7 linked regions of the Callithrix jacchus genome follow. The protein of the gene in region 4 interacts with the protein of the main gene of each other region in a biochemical or structural test. Links are inferred from orthologs where the notes say so. Each region holds a gene or a part of one and is shown on either strand. Other genes may lie near its edges. The genes, in order: SPART, CDC34, HNRNPUL1, ITCH, ERBB4, SMAD3 and UBE2K.

Region 1 (3,500 bases), about 150 Mb from region 4:
TTACCATATAATGTTACAATTTCTATTTAAGGATATGAAGCTTAGAGCAGAGGTCTCACTATGTTGCCCAGGCTGGCCTTGACTTGGACTCCTGGGCTCAACTGATCCTCCTGCCTCTGCCTCCTGAGTAGCTGGGACTACAGGCATGTAGCACAGACTGGCTATTTTTTAAACAATGGCTTTTGTTTGTTTTAAAGCTGTGTCTGCAGAGCCTACCAATGTTTATAACCTTGCCTCTCAGATATGCATGTTCTTGTACTTCTGCTTGAGAAAACCAGCTGCCTTTTCTTTGACTGCTACAATGCAAGACTGGTCAGTACTTTTAGTTTTTTCCAGCTTAATGTATTCACTTTTTCTTTTTCTTTTTTTTTTTTGAGATGGAGTCTCGCTCTCTCACCCAGGCTGGAGTGCAGTGGCGCAATCTTGGCTCCCTTCAACCTCCGCCTCCCGGGTTCAAGTGATTCTCCTGACTCAGACTTCTGAGTATCTGGAATTACAGGTGCGTGCCTCTACACCCGGCTAATATTTTGTATTTTCAGTAGAGACAGGGTTTCACTATGTTAGCCAGGATGGTCTTGATCTTCTGACCTCATGATCCGCCCACCACGGCCTCCCAAAGTTCTGGGATTACAGGCATGAGCCACTGAACCTGGCCTCGTGTATTCATGTTTTTCTACCAATAAATATCTCCATGATCTCAGTGAAATAACAGTAAAGTATTTAATTCTATAAAAGTAAACAATCCAAGATCTGATTCAAAAAATACTATATAACAAAAAAGATAATTTTACTAAATTTAATGATAATGCATTAAGGTCCTATCTACCCATCTCAAAACACCAAATTTCAGTGCTGTGATTCTCTAAGAGCAAGGGGTTAGAAGTATATTGCTTGGGAGGGCTGGCACCGGAATCACTAAGTCAGCTTTTCTCAAACAACAACTCCCTCTTGACCCTCAACTGCTAGGCAATAAACTGTTCTCGTTGAAAGAATATGTCGTATCCCTTAGAAGGATTCAAGGGTTCACATCCAGTTGTGCTGCATAATGACCTTTTGATCATTTCAGACATTTCGTGGTCCCATAAGATTATAATGGAGCTAATAAAGTCCCATGGCCTAGTAACATTACAGCCACCTTAACATCATAGTGCAATTACTTTGTTTTAAAAATAAATTTAGTGTGGCCCAAATGTACAGTTAGAAAGTCTACAATAGCATATAGTCATGTCCTAGGTCTTCACATTCACTCAGCACTCACTCACTGACTCACTCAGAGCAACTTCCAGTCCTGCAAGTGACATTCCTGGTTGGTGCTCTCTTAGGTTTTAAGCCATTTTTCATCTTTTATACTGCACTCCTACTGTCCTACCGTACCTCTTCTATGTTTACATGTGTTTAAATAGACAAATACTTACCTTTGTGCTACAATTTCTTATGGTATTCAGTACAGTCACATGCTGTATAGGTTTGTAGCTTAGGAGCAACAGGCTATATCATATAGCCTAGGTGTGGAGGAGGCTGTAACGTTTAGGTTTGTGTGAGTATACACTATGATGTTCACACAATGATGAAATCACCTGACACATTTCTTAGAACTTATTCCCCTCATTAAACAATACATGACTGTACATTCAGAACTCTTTTTCAAAGATACACACATTCTCCACTCCAACACATCAACACAACCCTTTAACCAGTTTCTCAAACTTTTATATGCAAATAAGAATCACCTAGGGATCTCTTGTGAAAATGCAGATTCTGAATCAGTAGGTGTGTCTGTACCTAAAATTCCGCATTTCTAAGCCTTCCAGACAGGCCCATGTGATGTTGCTGGTCTGCAGGTCCCACTATGAATAACAAAGAGAAACTGCTTTGTCCTGATTCTTTATTCTTGAGATTAAACCATCTAAATGAACATGTAGATTAAACCTGGACCAAGACATTATTTTAAATTTAACTTTAAAGAAGTAAAATTATCTAGAATTACTTTACCCAGGAACTGACTGACTTTTGCTGCTCCTCCTGTAGCTTGCTTTGCTATATAAAGTCCCTTGGTGACAGCCGGACTAACTTCCACAGGTTTTTCTTCGGGTTGAATCCGTTCTCGGAGCTTAGAAGCACCTTTCTGGATGGCTTTGCCAGTAAACTCAGCACCTTTGACTAAACCCCAACTCACCCAGGAAGCACCTTTTTAAAAGAAAATTTTAAAATACCATAATATTAGGTCTAATTATACTTTTAAACACTTTAATAACATCAACCAGCAAAAAATAAAAGGAGTTTGATAATCAGATGCTAAATGTGCCACGTCATAAACTTTCAAGCTAACTTTATACCTACAGTTTTCTTCCTAGAATATATACCTTTTCTAACTAATATATGAATACTTAGGTCACATGTCACTCAGTGACAGAGTTCTGCATTACTCTATGCTGCCACGACAACTTGTAGGTATCTCTGTATGTTACTTACCACAGTATATTACTGTTAGGTATTAACTTTGAGTTTTGGTGCCATTAAAATAGGATTTGGCTAAGGAACCCAGACACTGTTGGTCTTTTTGCCTTAGGCCAGGCACCACTTTTCCCCATGAAATCCTGAGGGAGAAAGACAGAAACATCACAAAATGGAAATCTGTTATCTCAAACACCAAGGCAGAACTCTTACTTCCTTTAGGCTGAAAGCATTAGTCAGGGGGTCCTGTTCCCTTCTCAATCCTAAACCCAAACTCTTGGATCTCAGCACCGTTTAGCTTGTTACAAGTGACATAAACATGGCAACACCCAAATGCATGAGCAGAGAAAATCTACAAGAGAAGAGAGAGGCCCAGATAATTTAGCCATTCCTCATGACAGTGGCCCAGCCCTTTGGTTTGCTTATGCTTCTCACAGCTTGAATGACAGAAGTGCTCACTAGAGGAACAGAAGGATGGAAGGGCCTTCTCTAGTGAGGACAAAAGGTCCTGAGTCAGTGGGAATGTGGGGAAAGGAAGAGCGGGAGAGGGATGAGAAAAGAAAAAATATACAAGAACAGTGTCCCCTAAGATGGGAAAAAGTACTACCCTACTTTGCAGAGACTTCCAACTGAAAAATACTTCTTTTTTAGCTAACCCTTAACAATAAGCTTTCAAAGTTAAACATATGAAATACTTAAGTGTTCTCTCAAGGTCTGTGGCATGGTTGTATATGATTACTCCAACCCATGAGTGAGCATCCAGCTATCATACCAGTTGATTTTAAAATTGGCATGTAATAAATAATTAGAAATTTTATGTTTCTCTTCCTGTTTTAGTCAACATCTCCACCTCCAGTTCCAAGCCTGCCCACACTGTCCTACCTGACAATCAACTTCTGGGGAAGTGAAGGATTCAAACCCAATCAAACAGGCGCCCATAAACAATAAAAGGCTTGAAGAAGTCATTTAAAAAAATTATCTTTTTAGATTAACTTATAAGTTGAAAAGTTATAAGAAGAAATCAGCTGAACTTGAAAACTGAGAAA
Region 2 (4,084 bases), on a different chromosome or scaffold from region 4:
TCACAGAAGCCTGGCAGGACCTGTTCCCCATCAGCATCTCCCAAGACGGCCGCCCAGCCTTCTGGCAAGGGTGGCCACGGAATGAGGAGCTCAGCCACGTGCTGGGTGACAGAGCGGTCTGGCCTGTGGCCTGGGGCGTGATGTCATCCACGGCCCTCCCGGGCCCCAGCAGGTATACAAGGAAAGAAGCCTCTCTGTTGGCTGGCTGCACGCCAGGCATGTCTGGGTCAGGGGTCCTGGGGGCACTCAGCACTCCAAGGCGCTCAGGGCAGCACTCCCCAAAAGCCAGTCATTGGAAAGGCCCCTCCTGGACAGGATGGGCACTCAGGGGTTCTTGGGGGATGTTCTCTGTTTGACAGGGAACTTACTGGGGTCCCGTGAGGCAAGTAGCTTGGCTGAGGCCACAGAGGAAGGCTGGAATTTTGGCCTCAGAACTGCCCAGTAGTTCCCCAAGACTTCAGGCCCCCGCCAAGCCTGGTGCTGGGCTTGAGGCTTCAACAGCAGCACAGAGAACCTGCCTCATCTGTACCAAACCCCACCAAGTCCCAATGAGCCTCTTGCTTTAAGCACCTCTAAAAACGCCTTTTACTTGGAGCAAATCCAGGCTCAGAGAGGGAAAGCACCCCGCCAAGGGCACACAGCAAGCTAGCTGCAGAGGGGTCTCTCCAGCAATGCCTGCCTCAGGGCTGACTCCGGCACCTGAAGGCGCAGCAGCTGCAGGCAGTGGCTGGGCAGCAGTGGTGGCCCTGGCACTCCATAGCTCCTGGATTTACATAACCCCCATTCCTGCCCTGGCACATCGGGAAGGGAGGGTCCTGGTGGGGGCAGCACCCCCATGTCTCAACACTGGCTTCTGAGGACTGACCCTGCGGCAGATGTCCAGAGGCCCCCTCCCAAGGAAATCCGGAAAACTGGATTATCCCCTAATACTGCCCAGGAGCCTCTGCCCACAATCCCTGGCAACCTGTCTGGTGGGCAGCAGCCAGAAACCGGCATCCCTTCCTTCCAGAACAGCAGCCGCCTCACAGGCCTGGCCTCGAGGTGGAACTGCCCCTCCTCACAGCCAGCTGCTCCCACAAGCAGACAAAAGGGGCTGGGGGAGGGGGGCTGCAGAAACCATTTGGCAACCTGCAGGCCCAAAACCCCGTGTGGGGGGACACAGGATTGCAGAGGCAGAACCCAGGACGTCCCACCCTTTGCTGTGAGCCAGAACCTCAGCTCAGGAATCACCCCCAGCAGACCAGGCTGCTGCCCTCACAGCCGCTGAGTGGGCGCTGCTCAGACTTAAGCGGCCCAGAGCACAGACATTCACCCCGTGGGAGGCATCAGCCCCTCGGCCCCATGCCCACAGCTGGCCGGGCTGAGGCTTCTGCTGCCCACCCGGCCTCCAGCCAGGGCAGAGCGGGCAGGGCCGTGCCCAGGCTCTTGGCAGGCAGTGGCAGCGGGAGGGGGCATCCTGGGCAGGGCGCTCGCTCCCCACCTCTGACACGGGGCCCCTCGCTTTGCCCCTCTGGCCCCAACAGCAGAGTCCTGTGACTCCTTTTAAAGTCAAAGGTCACGTCTGGACGGAGAGATCAAGAAACGCGCCCAGGCTGTGGCCTGAATCCCTTTCACCCGGGACGGAAGCAGCCTCCCAGCTCCCAACAACAAAAACACCGGGAAACCGCTGGGAATCGAGCCGCCAGAGGGCGGAAGAAACGGCCCACAACCCGGGTTCCGGGCCACCAGAAGCCACCTGTTCCGCGGAACCCGAGAGAGGCCCAGGCCAGCTGGGATGAGCGGAGCGCGCAGCTTCTGGGGTCGGAGCCGGGGCCGCGGAGAGCTGCGGGGAGCAGGCGGGAGGCCGCCCCTGCCCCGGCCTCCCCGAGCGCGCAGGTTACATAAAGCCGGGCCGGAACCCAGGGCGCCTGGCCCGGCTGCTGTCGGCGAGGGTGGCCGCCTTCCAGGCAGGTCCCGGCTGCCAAAGTCCGTCCGGGCCTTTGTTGGAGCCCGAGCGAGAGGCCGCGCCAGCCGCCCCCAGGCTGGCCTCGCTCCCCGACAATGGCAGCTGCGGGGTCGTGCGGGGAGGGGGGAGGCGGCAGGAAGGCCGGGGCGGCCCTGGCTACGCTCCCCGTTTCCCGCAGGGCTGCCGGGGTCGAGCCCCCCGAGGAGGAGGCCGGCAACAGTCTCACGCCCGGTGATCCGGGGTGGGGGGGGGCCCGGGAAACTAACAGGGGGCCGGACGGCGCCTTCCGGGGAGTTGGGGATCCTCGAGGACCCCGAGAGTGACCGCGGAGGGGCCGGAGAGCTGGGGGCGGGGGGTCCCGTGGCCGCAGGAAAAAACAAGCCCGAGCCAGGAGGCTGCGGGGCAGGGAGCGGGTCCCCGGCGCCCCAGGTCGCTCGCGGGCTCGGGGACCGGGGCGGGGTGGCCGCGCTCACCTTGAAGTAGCCGCCCTCGTAGTAGGTGTTGGGGGGCCCGAAGATGGCCACCTCCCAGTTGTACAGGTCGCCCTCGTCCACCAGGGTCACGCGGAAGCCCTCGACCGGCTCCTCCTGGAGCCCCTTCAGCTCCAGCAGCAGCGCCTTCTGCGAGCTGGGAACCAGCGGCCGGGCCATGGCGGCGGCGGCGGAGGAGCCCGGGGTCGGCGCCGCGCGGGGCGGCGGGACCACCGCGAGCTCGCGAGACGGACCGGGCCGCGCGCCGGCCGGGGGGGAGCCGCCGCCTGCCTCCTCCTCTGCGCCGCCGCCGCCGCCCGGGGACCCCGAGCGCTCCACCAGCTCTGCCGCCGTAGACCACCCGGCGCCCGCCTCAGCCCGGCCCGCGCGCCCCGCCCCCCGCTGCGCCTGCGCGCCTCGCCGGGCCCGGACTGCGCCTGCGCGCCGCGGCCAGGCCCGACCTCCGCCTGCGCGCCCGCCCGTGGGGCACGCCGGGAAATGGAGTCCCCGTCCCGGCCCCGCCTACCGCCCCCGCCGCCGGGATGGAGTGGCCGAGCGCACAGTCCTGGGCACTTTCGACCCCGAGGCCGCCGCCGTCGCCCCAGCTCCACCAGCACCGCAGATGCTGTGCGCAGGGAGGCAGCCAAAGCTGTGCTGCGCCGCCACCGGCCCGGCCCCCGGGCTTTGGGGTCGTTTTGTGACGTTCCGGCACGGGGCGGGGCCGCGGGCGGTGAACGCGGCGCGGGGTGGTGTCCTGACCCGGGCCGGAAGGTCCGTCCCGGCTTCCGGTCCCCAGTCTGTACTGGGGACGGGCGCGAAGTCTGTCCTGGGGAACGCCGGGCGCGCGGAGGGCAGGACGGGTGGCAGCCAGGCGCCCGGCGGGGACTCGGACACCCGGCTTCCGGGCGCAGCGCTGCCTCGGGTTCCCGCACCGCGGGGGCTCTGGGAAGTGGGCGGGGTCAGGAGGGCTCCGAGGGGTGGGAGACAGCGAGGACTTCCCGGTGAAAGTCCCCACGTGGTGTGAGCCGGTGCAGGCGCTGGAGCCATCAGAGGTTGCCGAGGGGTCCCTGTTCCCTAGAAAAACGGGGAAAGAGGCGGACTCAGTCCAGCCAGCATCGGCTCAGCGCCTGACCCGGGAGAGACCTCAGCCCCACGGATCCCCCACCCCAAGCTGAACCCCTGCCTGGCTGTGCCCTCTTCCCAGGCTGACCTTTGTCCCAGCCGAGTCTTTTTTTTTTTTTTTTTGAGACAGGGTCTCGCTCTGTCACCCAGGCTGGAGTGCAATGGAAGAGTCTCACTGCAACCTCCGCCTCCTGGGTTCAAGCATTTCTTCTGCCTCACCTTCCTTAGTAGCTAGGATTACAGACGCTCGGCCAGCACACCTGGCTAATTTTTGTATTTTTAGTAGACAAAGGGGTTCATCATGTTGGCCAGGCTGGTCTCGAACTCCTGACCTCAAGTGTGTTAGGTTTTGAAAGGAAGGCCAGGGTGGAGTTTGAACTAACAGAGTGATTTGCCTTCCTCAGCCTCCCAAAGTGCCGGAATTACAGACGTGACCCACCCACTGCTCCCTGCTCCCAGCGTGGGCCCTGGTGCTGGGCTTCACTGTGACCCCACCCGACTTTTGGCTGAGTGTCTGCCCAGACACCCACTTGTTCCTTGCCCTAAA
Region 3 (3,500 bases), on a different chromosome or scaffold from region 4:
TTCCTACCTCCAACAGAAGACCCTGAAGAGCCACCTGAAGCAATGTGGCCTTCTACTCCCCCTTTCCCTCTCCTCTGCAGCCTTTTACTAGCCAGGCAAATTTATCTACATTCCTCCAGCTGAAAATATGACCATGACTCCCCACTCCCTTCAGGACAAAGCCCCGGCTCTTTTAATCATCCTCTGTGTCCTGACCCAGACATTCCACCTCCAGAAAGCTTCCCCAAATTCCCATCATGGCCCCAACCATTCTAGCCTATGGCTGCTTGGGAAGTCAGCAGAGCTATGATCTATCAGTACACTGGCTGTGTGGCTTAGCAGTCCTATAGTCCTCTGTAGAGGCCTAGGTTTCCTCCCTGGTCCACCTCTTTTCTATCTTTTTCTCCTCTGATGTTCCACAGCTGTGATGCCCAAATGATCTGAAGAGGCTACTCAGGTTATCAAAGAATGTAAGTCAAAGCCCCAATATACCTGAGAGCATGTGCCCAATAACATACATCCAAGGGTGTGGGTTAGAGTCCAGGCCAGACAAAGGCAGAATCCTGGCTTACACAGGCCCACCTAGCTTCTGCAGTCAACCTCTCCTTCTCTCTCAAGGACAGGCATTTCTGAGGCCAACCTACCTAACAGGAGGCCCAGAAGAGCCAAATGTGGGGAGGTCTGACCACTCAGGAAAAACCAGTGAAGGCAAAACATGGTTCTGGGCTGAGGTTCAGGAACTGCAGGGACTTTGCCTATAGTATGGGTTTCCCCTTTGGAAATTCCACCTAGCCCAGGAGACAGCTATGCATCATCAACTTACCCATCACTGCCAAAGCTGGTGGAGTAGAAGTGCCAGGATTGGCCAGAGGCTTGCTCTGAACCTTCTATACACAAACACATAACTTCCCTCTCCCTCCCTCTCATAACCAGAGTTTTCTGGAACCCACTTTTGGGATTTAGGCCAAAACAGGTGAAACCACTGACTTTACACTCCCTCCCTCAGCCTGAGTAGCCTATGGTTTCAGGCCCCGAGTCAATCCTCCAATCTATGGTTAACCAGAGAACCCTCCTCCCCAGCCTTCAGAGTTTAGGTTCTCTGTCTCACTGTTGGCCCAGATCACTTGGCCGGACCCACATGTCCCTTCAGCAGGAGGCTGGTAGCCCTGAAGACCACAGACATACCTGGTACAGCCCTAGACCCTGTCCCTGAACAAGCCAGCAGCAGCCAAGAAGGCTGACAGTAAGTCTTCAGAGTGCGCAGCTGACATGGGCCTGGCTTCCAGAGAAAAGCCACTTCAGCATCCTGGACAGAGATGTTAGACGATCCACTCTAGACTATAATCATTCTCCCCCAGGGCCACATATTTGAAATGGGTTTCACAGCTGATATAACCAGCAAACCAAGAAAAAGACAGGCAGGGAACATTGACTGGGGTGTCCAAAGAGGTATATATCCTGTGTTAAAATGGTGTCACTGCTCTGCCTTTCCCAACAACAAATCCAACTGGGGTCAATTCAGACTAAAATTCTAAAATGCCCTGACAAGAAGGATCAGGCAAAGTGAGGAAAACTGGGGGAATAACCACGGAAGGATTTTAGACTACCCTGTGCTCAACTGTTTTGTGTAGGATCCTCATTCCTACATGAAGGCAACTTGGTTCTAGGCAATTCCTTTCCAACAAGCCAACTACCATCCTGACAAAGCCACTGTCACCACCTCCACTGTTATCAGGAACTCTCTGAATTCATGGTCACCGAGTACCCAGGCCTAGCTGTATGGAAAGTACTTCAGGAAGGCAACAAGGGCAGGGTGTTACTCAGTTTACATTATTTGCTCACTCACAGGTCCTTAAACCACAAATGCAAGGCTGAAGGGAACAGAGGCTTATTCAGATATCCAAATATAGAAAATAAGGAAACACCCTTTATTACTTGTGAAAGCCTTCAGGACAAATGTCAAGTATGACGCTGCACAGGCAATAACCATGTGGAACTCATTACTCTGACACAGGAATCTGTAACGATTTTTGGGTCACTCATCCTTTTGAGAATGCTGAAAGATATGGACAAAAAGCTATGTAAGGTTTTTTTTTCTTCTTTTTGGTAAAAAGGATATACCTGCACCTGCATACAATATTTATGTTCAATTGCAAAGGTTTCAGGTCCCCTGATATTAACAACTCCACTATTAACTGAAATGTAGGTAGAAAATATGACTTAGGTATGTACCTGCCAGTCACCGTATTTGTGAAGAGAATATGATGGAAGCAGTAACAGCGTTTACCTTACAGCACTGCTGTTGGAATTAAAGGTACTCTACTTATTCTGCAGAGTATTTAACAATAATCACCAGCTACTAAGTGCCAGGTCCTGTGTCAGGTGTGCAGATGCTATAGTGATCCCCGTTTTACCAACAAAGACATAGAGATTTAGAGGATAAAGTCAGCTGCCCAAAGGCACAGAGCTAGGGAGTGGCTGAGCTGGGATTCAAGCCCCAGTCTGTCAGGCTCAGAAATCCATACTTCTTCCATTTTGCCAAACAGTTCTCACCTGATATTCTTTGGGGCTGCTGATGAGTCTGAGTAAGTAGGCCTAGATCCCAGTGCGGATTCAGCTGGGTCTAGGACATGACATCATGTATGACACAGTCTGACCCCCCCCGACTAGCACAGCAGTCGATCACCATTACGGGAAAGAAAAAAAGGGACCAGAGTGGGCTTCCCAGGCATGGCAGGGATCCCATCCCTTCTCCTGAGGACACAATGGTCATCAGTAAGTACCTGATCTAGGATATAGTTGCGTTTCTTGCGGGCAGCAATCTGGATGAGGCGGTTGAGGCACTGGGTGGCCTGCTGGATGAGGACATCCCAGCGGCCAGCATAGTTCCGCTGCCGGCGTAGGCCCATCACCTGCAGGCAGGAAGTGGTGAGGGTAAGTGGTTTTAGTTGCAGGCAGCACTCGGTAGGTGGGAAATGAGTAAGGAGAGTCCAGTAACTGTCCTTACCCGCATCTTATCCATGATGGCATTGGTACCCAGGATGTTGTACTTCTTGGAAGGGTTGGAGGCTGCATGTTTGATGGCCCATGTGGTCTTGCCAGCAGCAGGCAGGCCCACCATCATCAGAATCTACAAGAATACAAGAACAAGACAGGGGAGGTGTTGCAGCATGGTGGTGTGGTACCACTTGGCTCGCTGGTGACTGTGAGTGTGACTCTGAACCTCTGAACTACGGCTGCCTCTGGAAAGTGGACGCAATAACACCATCTACCTCACAGTACTGGTATCAGGATTCAAAAAGATAAGGCTTGTCAGACTCTGTGCACAGCACCTGGGACAGGGTAAGCATTAAGTCAAGGGCTGGCCAGGCATGGTGGCTCATGCCTGTAATCCCAGGACTTTGTAAAAACAAAAACAAACAAACAAAAAAACACCAAGTGCTGTCATCATTAGCATTGATAGAATTTTGTTTTTTTGAGACAGGGTCTCACTCTATTGCCCGGGCTGGAGTATAATGGCC
Region 4 (4,250 bases):
TCAGGGAGGTTGGAGTGGGAAGATTACTTGAGCTCTGGAGGTCCTGCCACTGCACTCCATCCTAGGTGACTATGTAAGAGAATAAGACCTAGTCTCAACAAAAACAAAAAAGAACTTTTCATATACTTGCTTCCTTTAACCTTTCTGATGTTGTGTTTCAAAATGCTCTCCTTCCCCATTCTACTCCCTACTCACTGAACTCTTTTTGTTCCATAATCCTCTGAATTTACACACAGCATTAAGGCATTCCCTCTGCCTACCCTATCCTCTTTCCGTGCCCTTTTCACATTCCTACTCTTCATCTAAGACCCAATGTGGGTTCAGGGACAAATCTTGCCTTTTCTAACCAATCCTCCACCCTGCCACACACACGGAATTGGCCACTTCCTCTTCTGTCTCAAAGCTTTCTGAGCTTTCCTTGGTAAGTCTACAGTAACATTTGCCCTGAGTGGTTTCCAAGACCATTAGAATTACCTAAGGCATGTGTTAAAAATAAATTTGTTGGAGCCAACCCAGACCTACTAAGTCAATCTCAGAAGGTGAGGCTCTGGAAATTCTAAGCTCTCATAATCTCATAATTATTCTAACAGTCAAATTGGGGACTACTGGTTTGTCTGTTTCTCCCAATAGATGTAAAGATGCATTTTTTCAAAAAAGAATGCAGAAATGTGGCTGGTTGTGGTGGCTCAAACCTGCAATCCCAGCACTTTGGGAGGCTGAGGTGGGCGGATCACAAGGTCAGGAGTTTGAGACCAGCCTGGCCAATATAGTAAAACCCTGACTCTACTAAAATTACAAAAGTCAGCTGGGCATCGTGGCAGGCGTCTGCAGTCCCAGCTACTTGGGAGGCTAAGGCAGGAGAATTGCTTGAACCCAGGAGGTGGAGGTTGCAATGAGCCAAGATCGTGCTGTTGCACTCCAGCCTGGGTGACAAAATGAGACTCTGTCTCAAAAAAAAAAAAAAAAAAAATGTAGAAATGTTTGATTCTAGAATACAATGAAGTAGTCAGTACTCATTTTTTAAATTTCATATCATATCCTTGGTGACTTGCCTTATATGCTAAACATAATGGAATTCCTTCTGCACTCACAAAACTTACATTCACAGTCTTTGAAGCAGAATTTCCACCTTCATTTCTAATTTTTTTTTTTTTTTTTGAGACAGAGTCTCACTCCGTCACCAGGCGCCAGGCTGGAGTGCAGTGGCGCGACCTCGGCTCACTGCAACCTCCACCTCCCGGGTTCAAGCAATTCTCCTGCCTCAGCTTCCCGAGTAGCTGGGACTGCAGGCGCGCGCCACCACGCCCAGCTAATTTTTTTGTATTTTTAGTAGAGACGAGGTTTCACCATGTTGGCCAGGATGTTCTCCATCTCTTGACCTCGTGATCCGCTCGCCTCGGCCTCCCAAAGTGCTGGGATTACAGGCATGAGCCACCGCGCCCATCCTATTTCTTAATCTTAAAAATGAACTGTAGCTTAAATAAACCTATAAATACACACAGCAGGCTCTCACCAGACCTGTCATGAGAACTTCACCTCAACGGATAAACCATTCCTTAGCTGATTTTGAGAATGGAAATGCACTACCTTGACATACACTGCCATACACACGTACTGAAGATCGAATTATCGTATTAGGAATCGATGCGGGAGAACCCAGCTAAGTCCAATGATAGATGGCTGGCTCCAGTGTCTTACCAGTTGTCAAGGCAAAATCCCACACTTCCCCGCCCCCCACTCCAAAACAAGTACACTGCCGCTGTGGAAGAATGGCAGAAAACGTAGTAAGATGGGGGTACGAACACAACCAAGAAAACAAGGTGTCGTTGTTACCGGGGATCGTGACTTTCTGGCACTTTACAAGTTCAGCTGATCACACGTCGGACTAACTTTAGGCCCAACGTCTAGTTCGGGAGCACTAATCCTGCGCGGATTCTCTCTTTTAAAGCCGCGGCCGGGAACCAAGTCTGGGAAAACTTGAGTTCCCCCCTTGAAAGTCATGTCATCATGCTTTGGCCCTTAGAATACGTTCAACGGCTACTTTTTTCTTTTCTCTGCTAAAGCAAAGGGCACTCTCCCGAGGAGGGGCAGTGACAGCTCCACGTCTGCAAAAGTCGGCGCCGCCACGGCGGTGGCGGGCGTCGGGCGTCGGGGTGAGCGCCGGGGCCAGGACCACCCTGCCGAGGGGACAATGGGAGGAGGAGGGGAGCGGGACAGAGAGAAGGGGAGGCGGCCGCTGTGCTGGGCCCCCTCCTAGCGACAGGGGGCTCGGAAATGTCTCGGGAAGGCCAGCCGGGTGGCGGGGGACCCGGTCGCCGCCCCTCACAGGGCCACGTCGCCCGCGGCGGCGGGGACCCCACTCGTAGGCCGAGCCGCTGGAGAGTGGCCCCAGGAAGGGCCGAGGGGCGAGGGGCCGGACACTGCCCACGCCCGTCGTGGCCTAGCCCTTTCACAACTTGGAGCCCGCGAGACGAGGGCCTCCGGGAGCCTGCGCCTGGCATTGATCCCTCCGACCGTCCGGCCAACCCACCCCCACGGCCCGACCCGGGCCGGTAGCCCGAGCTCCCCGCGCCCCCCAGACACCGGCTCTGAGAAGGAGCAACCGTGGCTCTGGCGTCCCGACCCGCGCGTCCCACTCCTCTGCCCTACTTCTCCCCGAACATTCTCATCGGGACTCCCTCCCTCTCCCGAAAACTGCCCCGAGTTCGCCCACGGGTGTTTACCGGGACTCGGGGCGGCGGCGTCTCCTCAGTCCCTAGACTAAGATGGCAGCCGGTCTCGAGCCCCGACCACAGCTACCAGAGCGAGTTAGCAGCCAATACGCAGGCGCTTGAGCGCGGGAGTGATCTGGACTACAAGCCCCAGGAGGCATTGCGCGTTAGCCGACCGGCCAGCCCCGGGCTTGAAGAGCCAGCGGTGGTAAATCCTGCTAAATCCCAATTTTCTACACATCCAGGCTTTTTTCTTTTAACGCCTCGCCCACCAGAGCCTATAGCGACTGTGATTGTCAAACTCTGATGTACATCAGAATTACCTAGGAAGCTTATTAAAACTTACACTGCTTGCCGGGCGCGGTGGCTCATGCCTGCAATCCCAGCACTTCGGGAGGCTGAGGCAGGCAGATCACAAGGTCAGCAGTTCGAGACAAGCCTTACCAACAGGTCGCTACTAAAAATACAAAAATTAGCCAGGTGTGGTGGTGCGTGCCTGTAGTCCCAGCTACTCAGGAGGCTGAGGCAGGAGAATAGCTTGGACCCGGGAGGCGGAGGTTGCAGTGAGCCAAGATCATGCCATTGCACTACAGCCTGGGTGACAGAGCAAGATTCCGTTTAAAAAAAAAAAAAGGCAGGGCGAGGTGGCTCACGCCTGTAATCCCAGCACTTTGGGAGGCTGAGGCGGACGGATTACGAGGTCAAGAGATCGAGACCATCCTGGCCAACATGGTGAAACCCCGTCTCTACTAAAAATCCAAAAAAAATTAGCCGGGCGTAGTGACACGCACCTGTGGTCCCAGCTACTCTGGAGGCTGAGGCGGAAGAGTTGCTTGAATCCAGGAGTCAGAGGTTGCAGTGAGCCAAGATTGCGCCACTACACTCCAGCCTGGTGACAGAACAAGACTTCGCCTCAAAAAAAAAAACAAAAAAAACGTACACTGCTGAGCCCCACCCCGAGAGTTTCTGATCAGAAGATCTGGGATAAGGAGGATAGGGTCTGATAACTTGTATGTCTAACAAGCTCTTCTAGTGATGCTACTATGAGTGAGATCATAATTTGAGAACCACTGGTCTATATAGCTTAGTTGTTCTTTTTTCTTTTCCTTTCTTTTTCTTCATTTCTTTTTTTCTTTTTGAGATAGGGTCTCACTCTGTCACCTAGGCTGGAGTGCAGTGGCACAGTCATAGCTCACTACAGCCTTTAAATCCTGGGCTCAAGCAAGCCTCCCACCTCTGCCTCCTGAGTAGCTGGGACACAGGTGAACGCCACCACACCCAGCTAATTTTTTCTATCCTTTGTAGAGACAGGGATGGGGTGAGGTGGGGTTCGGATGGGATGGGGTTCAGATGGGGCCACCGTCTCGCCATGTTGCCCAGGCTGGTCTCCAACACCTGGGCTCAAGCAATCCTCCCTCCTTCAGCCTCCCAATCTCTGGAATTACAGATTCAAGCCACTGCACCTGGCCTACCTTAGCCTTTAACCATGTACATTAAAGGCCATAATTAAAAAGAAAAGAAAAAAATTCACCCTTCAGA
Region 5 (4,082 bases), on a different chromosome or scaffold from region 4:
GGGCTATAGATAAGAGAGTGGGAAACAGAGATCAAGATCTCTAATGAAAAGCAGGGTGGTTTGATTTTTAAGCTCCCCTGATACTTTTTATTTATATATTTGCTGCTTCTAGAAAAACCAAAAACGGAAAGTAATTCATACATAGAATGCCTGTACAAATAGCAAACCAATAACCTACTACCCCCAGGAGATTCTGGCCCTTGCCAGGGTGCAGTTTCATAGCTGTAAAAGGCAAGGGATATGTACATTGAAATGACCCAGTCCCAGAATATTTAGATTCAGAAAAGGTCAGAGATGCTCATAACTAGCAATGGCCTCAGGACTGGGGAGCCTGAATGCAGAGTGTGGACAAGGAAGAGGCCTAAAGCTAGGTCTACTATAGAATAAACAGAATCATTTAAGGTTAATAATGTTCTGATGTGTCCTTAAATTCTCTCAGGCTTGAGACAATTTCTAGCCCTTTAGGATCAAATCAGTGGCTTTGGACAAGAATCTGCTTAATAAGAATGAACTCCAAAGGTGAAAAACCCACAAAATCTAAAAATCAAAGGATAAGGGTTTATAAATGTGAAATTTTAGTTTGGCTCAATGATGGTCAGTTTGGAAATGTGGGAAGAACCAGAGAGATGGCATAACTGGGGCTGGAGCCAGGGTGGTGATTGGTGATTATACACCCACAACTACCTAACCGCAGGGGCTACCAGTTACTTCCTGATCACACTACTTTCTAATTGTGGACCATGAGTGGCAGAGTGCTGCAGGAGGAAGCTTTTTGCTGAAAGCAACATTGAGTTTCCTTTTATTTCTAGAGAAAGTCCTGTCTGTAGAGGAGCATTGGGGGGCAATGGAAAAAACGCTGCCTTCTTGTTTAAAAAAAAAAAAAAAATTTTTTTCCGTAAGCGCCCCTCCGATGGTCTGTTCACTTCGCAGGCCAGCTGTCCCCGGCCTCTGCCAGGGCGGGAAGAGGAGTGCTTCAGTGCGTGGCTTCGGATGAGCCCTTTAAATCCAGCTTCCCCTGCCCCCACCACGCGGCTCCCTCTCCCTGACAGGTGTTTTCCCAACTCCGGAGGCCCTAGGATTTTGGGGAGTGGCTGAGCCAATAAGATTTCCCTTTTGGGGGGGGGGAAGGGCGTGGCTAGTTGGGTCAGAGCATGGGCGGGGTTTGAGCGGCTGAGCAGAGCCTGCCTGGTTGCTTGGAGGGTTGTTTTATTCCCACCGCCCCCCACCTTTTTTTTTTTTTTTTTTTCTGGAGTCTTATTAATTTCTCTGTGGGGCTGCAGCTGGAGACCGCGGAGCGTTGGAAATGACGCTCAGAGCTTTAATTACTGCAGCCGCCGGACAAGTGTGAGGAAAGCTGACAGGAAAAAGAAGAACGGGATCCGGGGAGAAGCGAGAACCTCCCCCCGCCCCGCTCCCCTCCCGATTTGGACTGAAGGTGCACGGAAACTGAAGAAGCAGCCCAACATAGCCCTGCTGTGGGGAGAGGCCGGAAACCTACCGCCTCTTTGCAATCAACTTTTTTTGGAAACCTTTCTCCCCCTCTTCCTTTTTTATTGTTGACCAACCAGTGAGAGAGAGAGAGAGAGAGAAAGTGAGAAGGGAGCGAGCAAGTGAAGGCTCACGCGGGGAAATAGCTGCACAGTCCGGCCCGGAGCGCCACGCGCACACAGGCGCTCACACTCGAACGCACACTCGCCCCCTCCTCGGGCCCCGGCCCTGGACCTGCCGGCGTGGACTCTGTCGCCCGCCCTGGGAGTTGCTACACCGCGCGCGCCGCGCCCGCCCCCCTCGCGCCCCCACGCGCGCCCGGCTGTGGGATCTCCTCCGCGTGCCCGAAAGGGGGATATGCCATTTGGACATGTAACTGTCAGCACGGGATCTGAGACTTCCAAAAAATGAAGCCGGCGACAGGACTTTGGGTCTGGGTGAGCCTTCTCGTGGTGGCAGGGACCGTCCAGCCCAGCGCTTCTCAGTCAGGTGGGTTCCTTCTGGCGCTCCGGTTGCCAAACCTGCCGCCGCCGGAGGGGCTGCCTCGAGTGGCTCCCCTGCCCTCTTCACCCATCCCGGGAGGCGTGCAGGGACCGCTTGACCGGGGGCTCTCGGTCGCCCCTCTTTCCACTCGAAACTTACCCTGTATGTGTGCGCGAGCTTTGTTTACCGCAAAAATCATTCTCAGCCCCTGTCCCTTTTTTTTCTCTCCGTAACCCCCTATGTTTCTCTCCCGAGCATTTTGTGTGGAGCCTAAGCGGGATCCCTTATGGTGGCGCCTGTTGTTCGGGACATGGGAGACGGAAATCCCCAGTCAGAGGAGACTCTCCTGTCCCACTCTGGGCTCTCGAGGGAAGAAGCCGCTCCACCGGGGCCGCGGAAGGGCTGGAGTCCCAGGGCGGTGTTGGCTGGGCCTCTCCCGAACCCAGCCTGAAGGGAGGTGGAGAGTGGCGCTCCGAGAGTCGGGCTGCGCACCTGTGTGTGCTGCCGGCGGCCTCTGCGCCCCAGTCACCCGAGCCTTGTAGGGTCAGACGCGACTAGCGCCCAGCCGGGGCAGCCGAAGTGCAGCGGGCTGGCCCTCTTCGGCCCGGGGACCGGAGCGCCGGGCCTCCTCTGCCAGCTTCCCGGAGCCCTTGCCCCAATGACTTCAGGGGCGCTTGCTGGCCTGCCTGACCTTGAAAAAAGAAAAAGAAAAAAGGGGGAAAAAAAGGGTTGGCACACTCGAGCCAGAAGCCCGGCCTTCCCGTCGGTTGCCGTGTTTGGCTCCGGGAAGAGTTCTTCCTGTAGTTCTACTTGCTGTTGGCCGGAGTCCTTCAAACTTGTCTGTTTACTGCCCCGCGGTGCTGCCCAGCCTGCGGGTCACCGGATCCACCCCAGGCGCGAGCAGCGGCGGCGGCGGTGCTGGGTGCACGGCCACTGCTTGCTAGAGAGCTCGAACCCCAGGTACCTGGGCAGGCAAAGGGCTCATTGACCCCGAGAGACAGCGCGGCGGGGCTGGCGCACCACGGCGTGCAGGACTAATGACAGCACCTGCAGTGCAAGGGAGCTCAAAGTTTCTGACACTTGAGTTTCTTGGGATGAAAGTGGGACAGGAGAGGTCTGAGGAGGACCGCTGTCTGACGCGGCCAAGGGGTGGCTTTTGGAGAGCCAGGGAGATTTCCGAAACCATCCGGGGCTGGTGACTGGAGCGTGGGAGGTAGCTCGAGGTGATAAAGCCCCCGGGAGTGGCGATAGGGAGAGCTTTAGGCCCCTGTAGGGTATCCTGACCTCACCAAGAAAACAGCAAGCTGTAGTTTTCCCGCTCCGCCCCCGCCGCCGCCGCCACCTCCTCCTCCTTTGCCTAGTAAATAACAAGTTACAATCATCGAGCCTTTCAAAATGACCTTCGAATGGCACATGTGCGGCGTTTGTGCTGGCGGTTTGCACCCTCCCAATTACTCCGAAATTCTTCATGCATACCAGGTCCCGCGCTCCAGCCACCTCCGGAATCATACCAACACGGACTTGACATTCCAAGCGGCCTCTTAGATACATCTCTTTTTATCTCCCTCCCCACTTCGAGTCCCTTCATATTTCCCCTCAATGGGTTGATTATGCACATTGACCCATTCAAAGGCAGTGGCGACCGACATGCAGGCTTAACCGAGAGGAATTTCTACGAGGCGACCTACTGGGGACTGTCTGGTTCAGCCTCTGCCATTGGGGGACCCCGCTCCGAGTCCGCAGCAATTTGGTATTAACTGTGCGGCTCCGGGTTGAGCTATGCCGAAAAGCCCTTTTCAGAATTTCAGCAAGGAATGTAATCCAAATTAGTTCTGCAGCTGTCCTCTTCCTCGGCTCAGGCGACACCAGCTAGCGTCTCGCTCCTCTCTTCTCGTTTCCCTGGGCGAATTGTCAGACCCACAAGTGAGCCCATTTAGAGCGCGAGGATTAGCGTGCCATTGTTGTTCCATGTGTGACTCTGTACTTGAAATTCTGGGGGCACAAAGGCGAGTCTCACTTGTTCAAAACACAAAGTGATCCAGATGAAAGGGCCGCACAAAGAAAAGCTCTCGGGTGCATCCCTGGTATAATTGCAACACGCATACTAAGGT
Region 6 (3,500 bases), on a different chromosome or scaffold from region 4:
CTTGAACCAGGGAGTCAGAGGTTGCAGTGACCCGAGATCACACCACTGCACTCCAGCCTGGTGACAGAGTGAGACTCTGTTTAAAAACAAAACAAAACAAGAACAACAAAAAAAAAAAAACTGGCAGGACCCACCATAACAAGATGCCTAGGTATCTGAAGCCAAGACTGTGCCACTGCACTCCAGCCTGGGTGACAGAGTGAGACTCCATCTCAAAAAAAAAAAAAAATTATATATATATGAAACATAGGAAAAAGCCAGTTGCAGTGGTGTATGCCTGTAGTCCCAGATAATCAGGAGGCAAAGATGGGAGGATGGCTTGAGCCCAGGAGTTGGAGACTGGCTTGGGCAACATAGCAAGACTATCTCTAAATCAATCAAACAGTGGTATGCCACCCAGAATAAGTATCTTTCTTAAAGTGAAAAACAAAAAGCAAAATAGGAATAACGGGTCTCGTAGTGGCGGCTATCTGTCAGTGACGATGCCAGTCTCTGCAGAGCCAGCAGCCCTGACCCTCCTCCCACCCCCACCAGACATCAGGTCCCTTCCCTAGAAAATGACAGCACAGACCTAGGCCCATGGCCTCCAAACTTTTCTTCTCTTCGCTACACAATCAGTCCTCTCTTCAAATGAAGTCTTCTGTGAGAGCACGAGAGATGAAGCGAGTGCAGAGGTGCTCTGGTTCACGTGGGGCCAGGCTTCCCTTTGCTGACCTGTCCAGCTCCTGAGTTTGCCCTGGGAACCCCTCGGCCAACCCTTGGGGCTCCAGGATGAGGTCTGAGAGTACCTCACTCCACCATCTCTCTACAGCCCTTCTAAGTTCTGACAGTCTATGATCCTGGATCTTAAAAATCCTCTAATCACGGTAACTTCATAAGCAAACCAAGTGAAGCGTAACACAGCTTCATCTTCCTTAAACTCACAAAGTCATCTTTTACTTATGTTCTGGGGGCTAGAAGGCAGAATGTTCACAGTAGTTGTGTTTGGATAGTGAACAATTGTTTTCTACCTAAATTGTCTAGAATAATAATACATGAAAATAAAAGATCACTCTTCCAACAATGACTGCCTGCTTATCAACCTATCCATCTGTACTTTCAGGGTATTTTTATTAAGAGGATTTCAGCCGGGCACAGTGGCTCACACCTGTAATTCCAGCACTTTGGGAAGCTGAGGCAGGTGGATCAACTGAGGTCAGGAGTTTGAGATCAGCCAGGCCAATATGGTAAAATGCCATCTCTACTAAAAATACAAAAATAAGCAGGGTGTGGTGGTGGGTGCCTGTAATCCCAGCTACTCAGGAGGCTGAGGTAGGAGAATCACTTGAACTCAGGAGGCAGAGGTTGCAGTGAGTCGAGATCATGCCACTGCACTCCAGCCTAGGGGATAGAGAGACTGTGGCTCCCCACCAAAAAAAAAAAGATTTCATATGTTGCCTTTCTCATAGATGCTCCTTTCTGGATCCCTTAAGTGAAGTATTTTCCTCTGTGGCCTCCAGATTTTCCGAGATTGTATCTTTGAGTGGGAATGATCAACTGGCCTGAACACTACCCATCTGGCCCCTAAACAGGGCAACAGAGAATGTGGGGTCCTTTCGGGGCAGTGAGTCTTCCCCCATTCCCAGCAGGAGGCAGAGCACAGCTAAGGATGGAGGCAGGGTTCCATGCAGAGAGTGTGCTGGGGCCTAGGGCTGGCAGGGGGGATAGAGCAGTGGGGACAGGATGGGGACGGCAGGGGATGCAGCCAGCCCATACCAATGTGCCTCCTCGTCAGCTCCACTGCTGCGTTCCTGTTGACGTTAGAGAGCAGCCCTAGGCAGAAGCGCTCCGAGTTGGAGGGGTCGGTGAAGCCATCCACAGTCATGGATGGCTGCGAGGCATGGAACGTCTCCCCGACGCGCTGGTTCAGCTCGTAGTAGGAGATGGAACACCAGAAGGCTGGCTCGCAGTAGGTGACTGGCTGCAGGTCTGCGGACACAGAGTAGGCTCCTGGGTCAGTGGGTGCCCCAGGCCCATGCTCCCTCGATGGGGTCCCATGGAAGCTCTGGAAAACCATTTCCCTGCATTTTAGAGGGTATTAATAATCTCTCCTACCCCATGCCTTTTATTGTATAAAACTGGCAGGACCCACCAGAACAAGATGCTCCAGTGTCTGGAGGAGATTCTGTCAGCCTTGCCATGGTATCGGTGTAAAGGGCCATTGATTTTTTTTTTTTTTTCTTAGCTCATAGAGGTCCTGCCCCACCTGCTTGGCCTTGACTGGATGGAGGGAGTCTTCAAGGAGGGGCTAGGTCAAACCGGAAGAGGACCAGGGGACCTCCCAGTACCTGGATGAACCTGGGGCAGCCACTGCTTGCACTCACCATGGGGCAGGCCATGGCTTCTGCACGGTCACCTCCCAGCCTCTCTTGCAAGATCCCCAGAGTAACCCACATTAATCCCTGCCCCTAAAAGGGCTTTCAGCACAGCCTTAGGGGCAAACTCCAGGCCTGTGGAGTAGCACCTTCCAAGCCTACAGCAGCTGAGTGGGTTTCCAAAGGCACACCACATCAGCACAGTGGACACACCAGGCATCGTCTGCAGACTGAGCCCGGGGCCACGTCTGTTATCACAGAAACTGTTTTCCACATTTACTTAGATGCTGGCTGCTGGGGTGGCTAGGACACAAATGCGGCTGAAGAAAGTTGGGATTGGTCCCAGTTGTCTGTACAGCCTCCATCAGGGGCTCCTCAAAGCAAAACTGCCACCCTGCAAGGGGCTGCTGCCTTTTCTCAGAAGTGTAAATGGTAGCTATTCCTCACACTGGACACTTCCCAGCCCTCCATTTCCTGGGGCCTCCTCGCCCTTCTCTTGCCCCAGCAGCCGTGGCGCTGTGCCCTTGGAACTCCCACTCACACTGATGCCACAGCCTCTGGACCAGGACTGCCTTGCACCCCATGCCAGCCATTTCCAACTGCTCTGTGCTGCACTGACTGCCAGGTGTGAGCCCTGAGCCTAACACACTCTGCCTGATGCCTACCTGAATCCCTGATTCCCATCCATGTGCTGAAGAATCAGGGAGTCCCCCCTACTCATTTGCACTCTTCCATCTCAAACCTTCAGCCTGGCTCTGAAGTCCCTCTGGCTCTTAAACATACCTGGAGCCACCCAGTTACTGAGGGTGCACCTCTATGTGAGCATCCTGACTGTCCAACCTGACCACGGGGTCCTAGGGCCCAGGCTGACATCTCTCCTCCCTCTCTTCAACCTTCAGCTCAGGGCTCTGATGCAGGAGGAGCAGGAGAGACTCACCATGCTCACATCTCAGCCCTGGCCTGAGAACCCTGCTCACTGGGTGCCGGGCAATGTCTAGGAGAGAGCCCACCAGGGACCTCTGCTCATCAGACCTACTGAAGGTATGTGGAGCCCAAGAGAGAAAAGTCAAAAGCTGTTCTGCCCACAGGAAGGGGCCTGGTTGCCCCTGCTGGACAGAGTGCCCTGATCCCCTTTTGGGGTCTAGG
Region 7 (4,239 bases), on a different chromosome or scaffold from region 4:
AATTTTTCCAATTTCTCATGAAACCTTTTACCTGCACAGGCAAATACACATATTCCCCTCCATTTGAAACAAATGGTGGCCTCTCCCACACTATTCTGTATCTTGCTTTTCACATTTATCTTGTTGGCTGTATTTTAATTAACACACTCTAAGAATGGCCACCACAATCCAACAAGCGTCAGCTATCTCTACAAAGACACTTAAAAGGCCACCCCAAAAAGTCCTTAAATCAACCAGTGTTCTTACTAAACACAAGCACACAAGCATATGAAATAAACTTTGGTAAAGTGCAGATTTACCAAAAAAGTGACATGATGAAATAGTTATTTGATCAGCCATTCAAAAGACTGGATTTACACCCTTAAAAAGGAAACACATGGACTGTACTACAAGTCCTTCAATGAGTTGAAAATAACAATCTACTTATAGATCTGGGACACTAAAATGTCAAAAAATAATGGTGAAAATAAGCTATTTATTGGTTATATTTATTCCAAGATTAAGTGATGTGAACTTTTCCTAAATGTTCTTTGCAACTTATTTTCCTAGAAGAAGTTTCTTTCCATATTTCTATAGGTACTGTTCTCAAAAAAAAAAAAAGTTTGTCGTCCCTATTTTCTTCTTCTGAAACGCTTATGATACTTATTTGAAGTAAACCATCATCCCTTATGTATAATGAGCAGTGTTATTTTAACAATATGCATTACTAGAGAGCAATACAAGTATTTCTGGTAATCTTCAAGTTAAGTACTAAGAATACCACGGTGAAGTCAGCTCATAAAAAGCAGAGACCATATAAATTACTAGAGTAGTAACTTACCACTTTTCAGTAATAGAAAATAAAGCATTAAAAGTCTATTAAGTTTCAAGCTTCTACAACCTTATTAAACAAGAAATGTTTTAGGTTGTTGGCAACAATATTAGCTGCTATCTTCCATTAGAAGTATATATGTCAAATATCCTGGAATACATTTTCATATTAAGTTAAAATTGCTGTTTCACTGTTATCAATACAAACACTTATGACTCTGTTTCTGCACTGTACCACAAAATACAAAGTCATCCTTCCATTCAGAGTTTTGGCATATGAACAGAGGTCAGAGTTCATACACATGCTCTGTAAAACTGATCATGACTTACATACTACTACTTTCAAGAAGCCTATTTGTCATTTTTGAATTTTAAACAATTTTTTCTTCATGTCTACTCATCACATACTTAGAATGCTGAATTTCACTAATCACTATCGACATTATCGAAGTACTAACCGTAAAAGAAAAAACACAAAAGCAACGATATATTCAATAATGGTACGTGAATCTTGAAAATAACCATTTTCTGTATTACTTTTTGTTTAATCCTTGTGGGGAAGGCAATCTGGTATTCTTGTTGATTTTTGGTATGAAAAACTGTACTAATACTTATGTAATTCTGAGTCAAATTACTAGAGCATTGTGAATATCTTACTTAAACGTACTAATATATCTAAATTCTGCAGGATTTAAGAGCAACGGGAGGCAATTTTTTTGAAAATCTGCTATATCGTGATAAATCTACTCAATAAAGAGATAAAACAGTGTATTAATCTGGTAAAAGCACACGTTTTTAATAGGTCTACTTTTCAAAAGTAAGAATCAAGTTAACTATGAGGGACATCATAATGAAGTTTCGTGGCACAACACTAGTCACAGAGGTACTGTATTAGGACAGTCTCTCTGATCTGTAACTTGTAAACAATATTTTGAAATAAGCTACTCTTACATTCCATTTTTTTTCTAACTAAAAATATTTAAATGTCTTTAATACACCAAACACCTTGCCTTTGCCCACTCAAAGACTGAGATGTCGATAAAGACGAGGCCTAGGAATTTGGGGGTAAAGTGGAAAAGACATAACGATCTCATTTGGAATTAACTTGCTAACAGAGGTGAAAATTCCCTTATCCCTGCCACCGAATAAGACAGTATTCTATTATTCTCCCCTTGACTCCTAACACCCAACTAAGAAGGACTAACTCTGAATGTCCTTCCTTTTTAATCGATACCTAAGGACTCACCGCTCCTTCCCTAAGAAAAGGACGGTGACGGCCTGACAGGCAATAACCCAGAATATCCTCAAAAGTGTGGGCCTTAGAGCAGCACCGGCTCCTCCGGATACAGTTACCACCTTTCCCCTTCCCCCAACCCACTTCCCGGGTTTTCTCGGGCTCGGCCTGCTCCCTCCCCACCCCAGAGCCACACTTCCAGCTGTGGCCACCGCCTCGGGTTCTCTCGTGAGCTTCCATCCCGCCGAGGAGTTCCCCCCTGTCCATCAGTTCCCCAAACTGTGTTCCACCCCAGACCCCCCGCCCGCCGAGACCGTCCATCCTAGCGCTGTGGGAGGGGAGGGGAAGGCGGCGGAAGGAGGAGGGGAGCACTACTGCTTCCCCACAGGCAGAAGGGCGGCCGCAAGGAGGGCCACCCAGGGACTACCGGGGATATCGGGGTCACGCTGGGAGGACCCTCCCGCCCGGGCAGAGGTGGGGGATGTCCGGGAGTTCATTTCTGACCTCCTCGCTCTTCAGCACCTCCTTGAACTCCCGCTTGATTCGCTGCACCGCGATGTTGGCCATGTCTCCGCCCGCAGCTGATTCGTACCCGCCTCCTCCGCCACCGCTACGACCACCGCCACCGCCGCCACCTCTTCCTCCACCGCCTCCTCCCTCAGCGATTCAGACCCGAGCACACGAACACTGCCACTACCACCCCGGCCACCGCGCTCTCCTCAGTGTGGAATCACCTCCGCGCCCGGCCACCAAAATGGCGCCGGGTCCGCGCATGCGCATGATGCTGACCCGGCCGGGCGGCGCAGCCGCTCCCGTTGTAGCCCCCATTCGCCCGAGCCACGAGCGCGCGTCTCGACTGGGGCTGCGGCCGCTTGACTCCGCCCTGCCGGCGTCTGGAGCCGGGAGGGTGCGCCTTCCAAACTGGCCGGGACCGCCGGTCCTCCCCGGCGCCTCCACTTCTGTTTAAACCCGGGTGCTGTGGTCCGGGCTGCCAACCCCTGGACTCTGACCGAAGGTTCGGGTGCAACCGAACGGTTCCCGAGGCCGCAATCGGCTGGAGCGCCTTCCTGACTCAGCTAGACCCGGAACCCGGTGGCTGAACGCCGGGTGCGGGAAAACGTCTAGTGCAGGAAAACGCTCTCCCGGAACTCGATCCGGCCCATTTTCAGTTGGTGTAGCCCCAGAAAATCCGCTGCAGTCGTTTTTGTTCTGCAACATTTATAGTACCAAGATTATTCCCACCATCTCAGGTAGCACAGATTATTGAATTAAGGCTGGTTATTGTTGAATCAGATCCGGTTTGAGACAGGTATTACGTGGAGAGGCCTGATGATGGATCTAGAAGCCAGATGTTGATCTTTGACCTATTTAGATAATACAGAGCTTGATACACACACACACACACACACACACTCGCGCGCGCGAGCACATACTCCCACTCCTATACACACTCACTCCTGTGCCCATCCCTAGAGTGTAGGATGGCCCCAAGACACACTCTCTCTCTCACTCATTCTTGTGCCCATGTCTGAACTAAAGCATGTGAAAATTCATATAAAAGTGAAAATTGGAGAAATAGAAACAATTATAGTGCTTTTCAGGGCACTGGGGGTGGGGGAGGGGAGCTTTACTTCTGTAAACCTAGGCCTACAAAGGTGCCTGGTGCTAGTAGGCACTCAATAAATATTGAATGAATAAATGAGTACACGTAAGAGTAAAATGTTTTGGCTGCCACGGCGGATCGCTTGAGGTCAGGAGTTCGAGACCAAGACTGGCCAACATGGTAAAACCCCGTCTCTACTAAAAATACAAAAATCAGCCAGACATGGTGGCGGGCGCCTGCAATCCCAGCTACTCTGGAGGCTGAGGCAGGAGAATCGCTTGAACCCCGGGGACAGAGGTTGCAGTGAGCGATATCGGGCCACTGCACTCCAGCCTGGGCGACAGATCTGTCTCAAACAAAACAGAACAAAAAGTGCAAAATACTTTAAGTGGAAAGTCAGTTTGAAAGTGGTTTCTGGTCGGGCACGGTGGCTCAGTGCTGTAATCCCAGCACTTTGGGCGGCCGATGGTGGCAGATCGCTTGAGCCCAGGAGTTGGACACCAGCCTGGGCCCCATGGTGAAGTTCCATCTCTAAAGATAATAATAATTTTTTTTTTTTAGAGTGGTTTCTAAGGCTCATAGTAATAATGAT

The links.
Region 1: the proteins of ITCH (region 4) and SPART form a complex in vitro, tested with the Homo sapiens proteins (2 studies listed by BioGRID). The link is inferred for Callithrix jacchus from reciprocal best matches to the Homo sapiens genes ITCH and SPART.
Region 2: the proteins of ITCH (region 4) and CDC34 form a complex in vitro, tested with the Homo sapiens proteins (3 studies listed by BioGRID). The link is inferred for Callithrix jacchus from reciprocal best matches to the Homo sapiens genes ITCH and CDC34.
Region 3: the proteins of ITCH (region 4) and HNRNPUL1 form a complex in vitro, tested with the Homo sapiens proteins (2 studies listed by BioGRID and IntAct, with this or other methods). The link is inferred for Callithrix jacchus from reciprocal best matches to the Homo sapiens genes ITCH and HNRNPUL1.
Region 5: the proteins of ITCH (region 4) and ERBB4 form a complex in vitro, tested with the Homo sapiens proteins (2 studies listed by BioGRID, with this or other methods). The link is inferred for Callithrix jacchus from reciprocal best matches to the Homo sapiens genes ITCH and ERBB4.
Region 6: the proteins of ITCH (region 4) and SMAD3 form a complex in vitro, tested with the Homo sapiens proteins (2 studies listed by BioGRID and IntAct, with this or other methods). The link is inferred for Callithrix jacchus from reciprocal best matches to the Homo sapiens genes ITCH and SMAD3.
Region 7: the proteins of ITCH (region 4) and UBE2K form a complex in vitro, tested with the Homo sapiens proteins (2 studies listed by BioGRID). The link is inferred for Callithrix jacchus from reciprocal best matches to the Homo sapiens genes ITCH and UBE2K.

The regions. Positions count from the first base shown.
Region 1 is NC_133506.1:155,563,591-155,567,090, forward strand, and holds part of SPART (spartin), read right to left. Parts: intron 2,188-3,500; coding exon 1,993-2,187; intron 1-1,992. UniProt on the Homo sapiens protein: Lipophagy receptor that plays an important role in lipid droplet (LD) turnover in motor neurons.
Region 2 is NC_133523.1:497,938-502,021, reverse strand, and holds the start of CDC34 (ubiquitin-conjugating enzyme E2 R1), read right to left. Parts: upstream 2,801-4,084; 5' UTR 2,596-2,800; coding exon 2,419-2,595; intron 1-2,418. UniProt on the Homo sapiens protein: E2 ubiquitin-conjugating enzyme that accepts ubiquitin from an E1 ubiquitin-activating protein, and catalyzes its covalent attachment to other proteins by an E3 ubiquitin-protein ligase complex. In vitro catalyzes 'Lys-48'-linked polyubiquitination.
Region 3 is NC_133523.1:36,576,152-36,579,651, reverse strand, and holds part of HNRNPUL1 (heterogeneous nuclear ribonucleoprotein U-like protein 1), read right to left. Parts: intron 3,110-3,500; coding exon 2,987-3,109; intron 2,892-2,986; coding exon 2,763-2,891; intron 1-2,762.
Region 4 is NC_133506.1:4,928,753-4,933,002, forward strand, and holds the start of ITCH (E3 ubiquitin-protein ligase Itchy homolog), read right to left. Parts: upstream 2,801-4,250; 5' UTR 1,834-2,800; intron 1-1,833. UniProt on the Homo sapiens protein: Acts as an Acts as an E3 ubiquitin-protein ligase which accepts ubiquitin from an E2 ubiquitin-conjugating enzyme in the form of a thioester and then directly transfers the ubiquitin to targeted substrates.
Region 5 is NC_133507.1:134,244,910-134,248,991, reverse strand, and holds the start of ERBB4 (receptor tyrosine-protein kinase erbB-4), read left to right. Parts: upstream 1-1,282; 5' UTR 1,283-1,895; coding exon 1,896-1,977; intron 1,978-4,082. UniProt on the Homo sapiens protein: Tyrosine-protein kinase that plays an essential role as cell surface receptor for neuregulins and EGF family members and regulates development of the heart, the central nervous system and the mammary gland, gene transcription, cell proliferation, differentiation, migration and apoptosis.
Region 6 is NC_133509.1:14,230,896-14,234,395, reverse strand, and holds part of SMAD3 (mothers against decapentaplegic homolog 3), read right to left. Parts: intron 1,969-3,500; coding exon 1,756-1,968; intron 1-1,755. UniProt on the Homo sapiens protein: Receptor-regulated SMAD (R-SMAD) that is an intracellular signal transducer and transcriptional modulator activated by TGF-beta (transforming growth factor) and activin type 1 receptor kinases.
Region 7 is NC_133504.1:154,118,684-154,122,922, forward strand, and holds the start of UBE2K (ubiquitin-conjugating enzyme E2 K), read right to left. Parts: upstream 2,801-4,239; 5' UTR 2,612-2,800; coding exon 2,549-2,611; intron 1-2,548. UniProt on the Homo sapiens protein: Accepts ubiquitin from the E1 complex and catalyzes its covalent attachment to other proteins. In vitro, in the presence or in the absence of BRCA1-BARD1 E3 ubiquitin-protein ligase complex, catalyzes the synthesis of 'Lys-48'-linked polyubiquitin chains.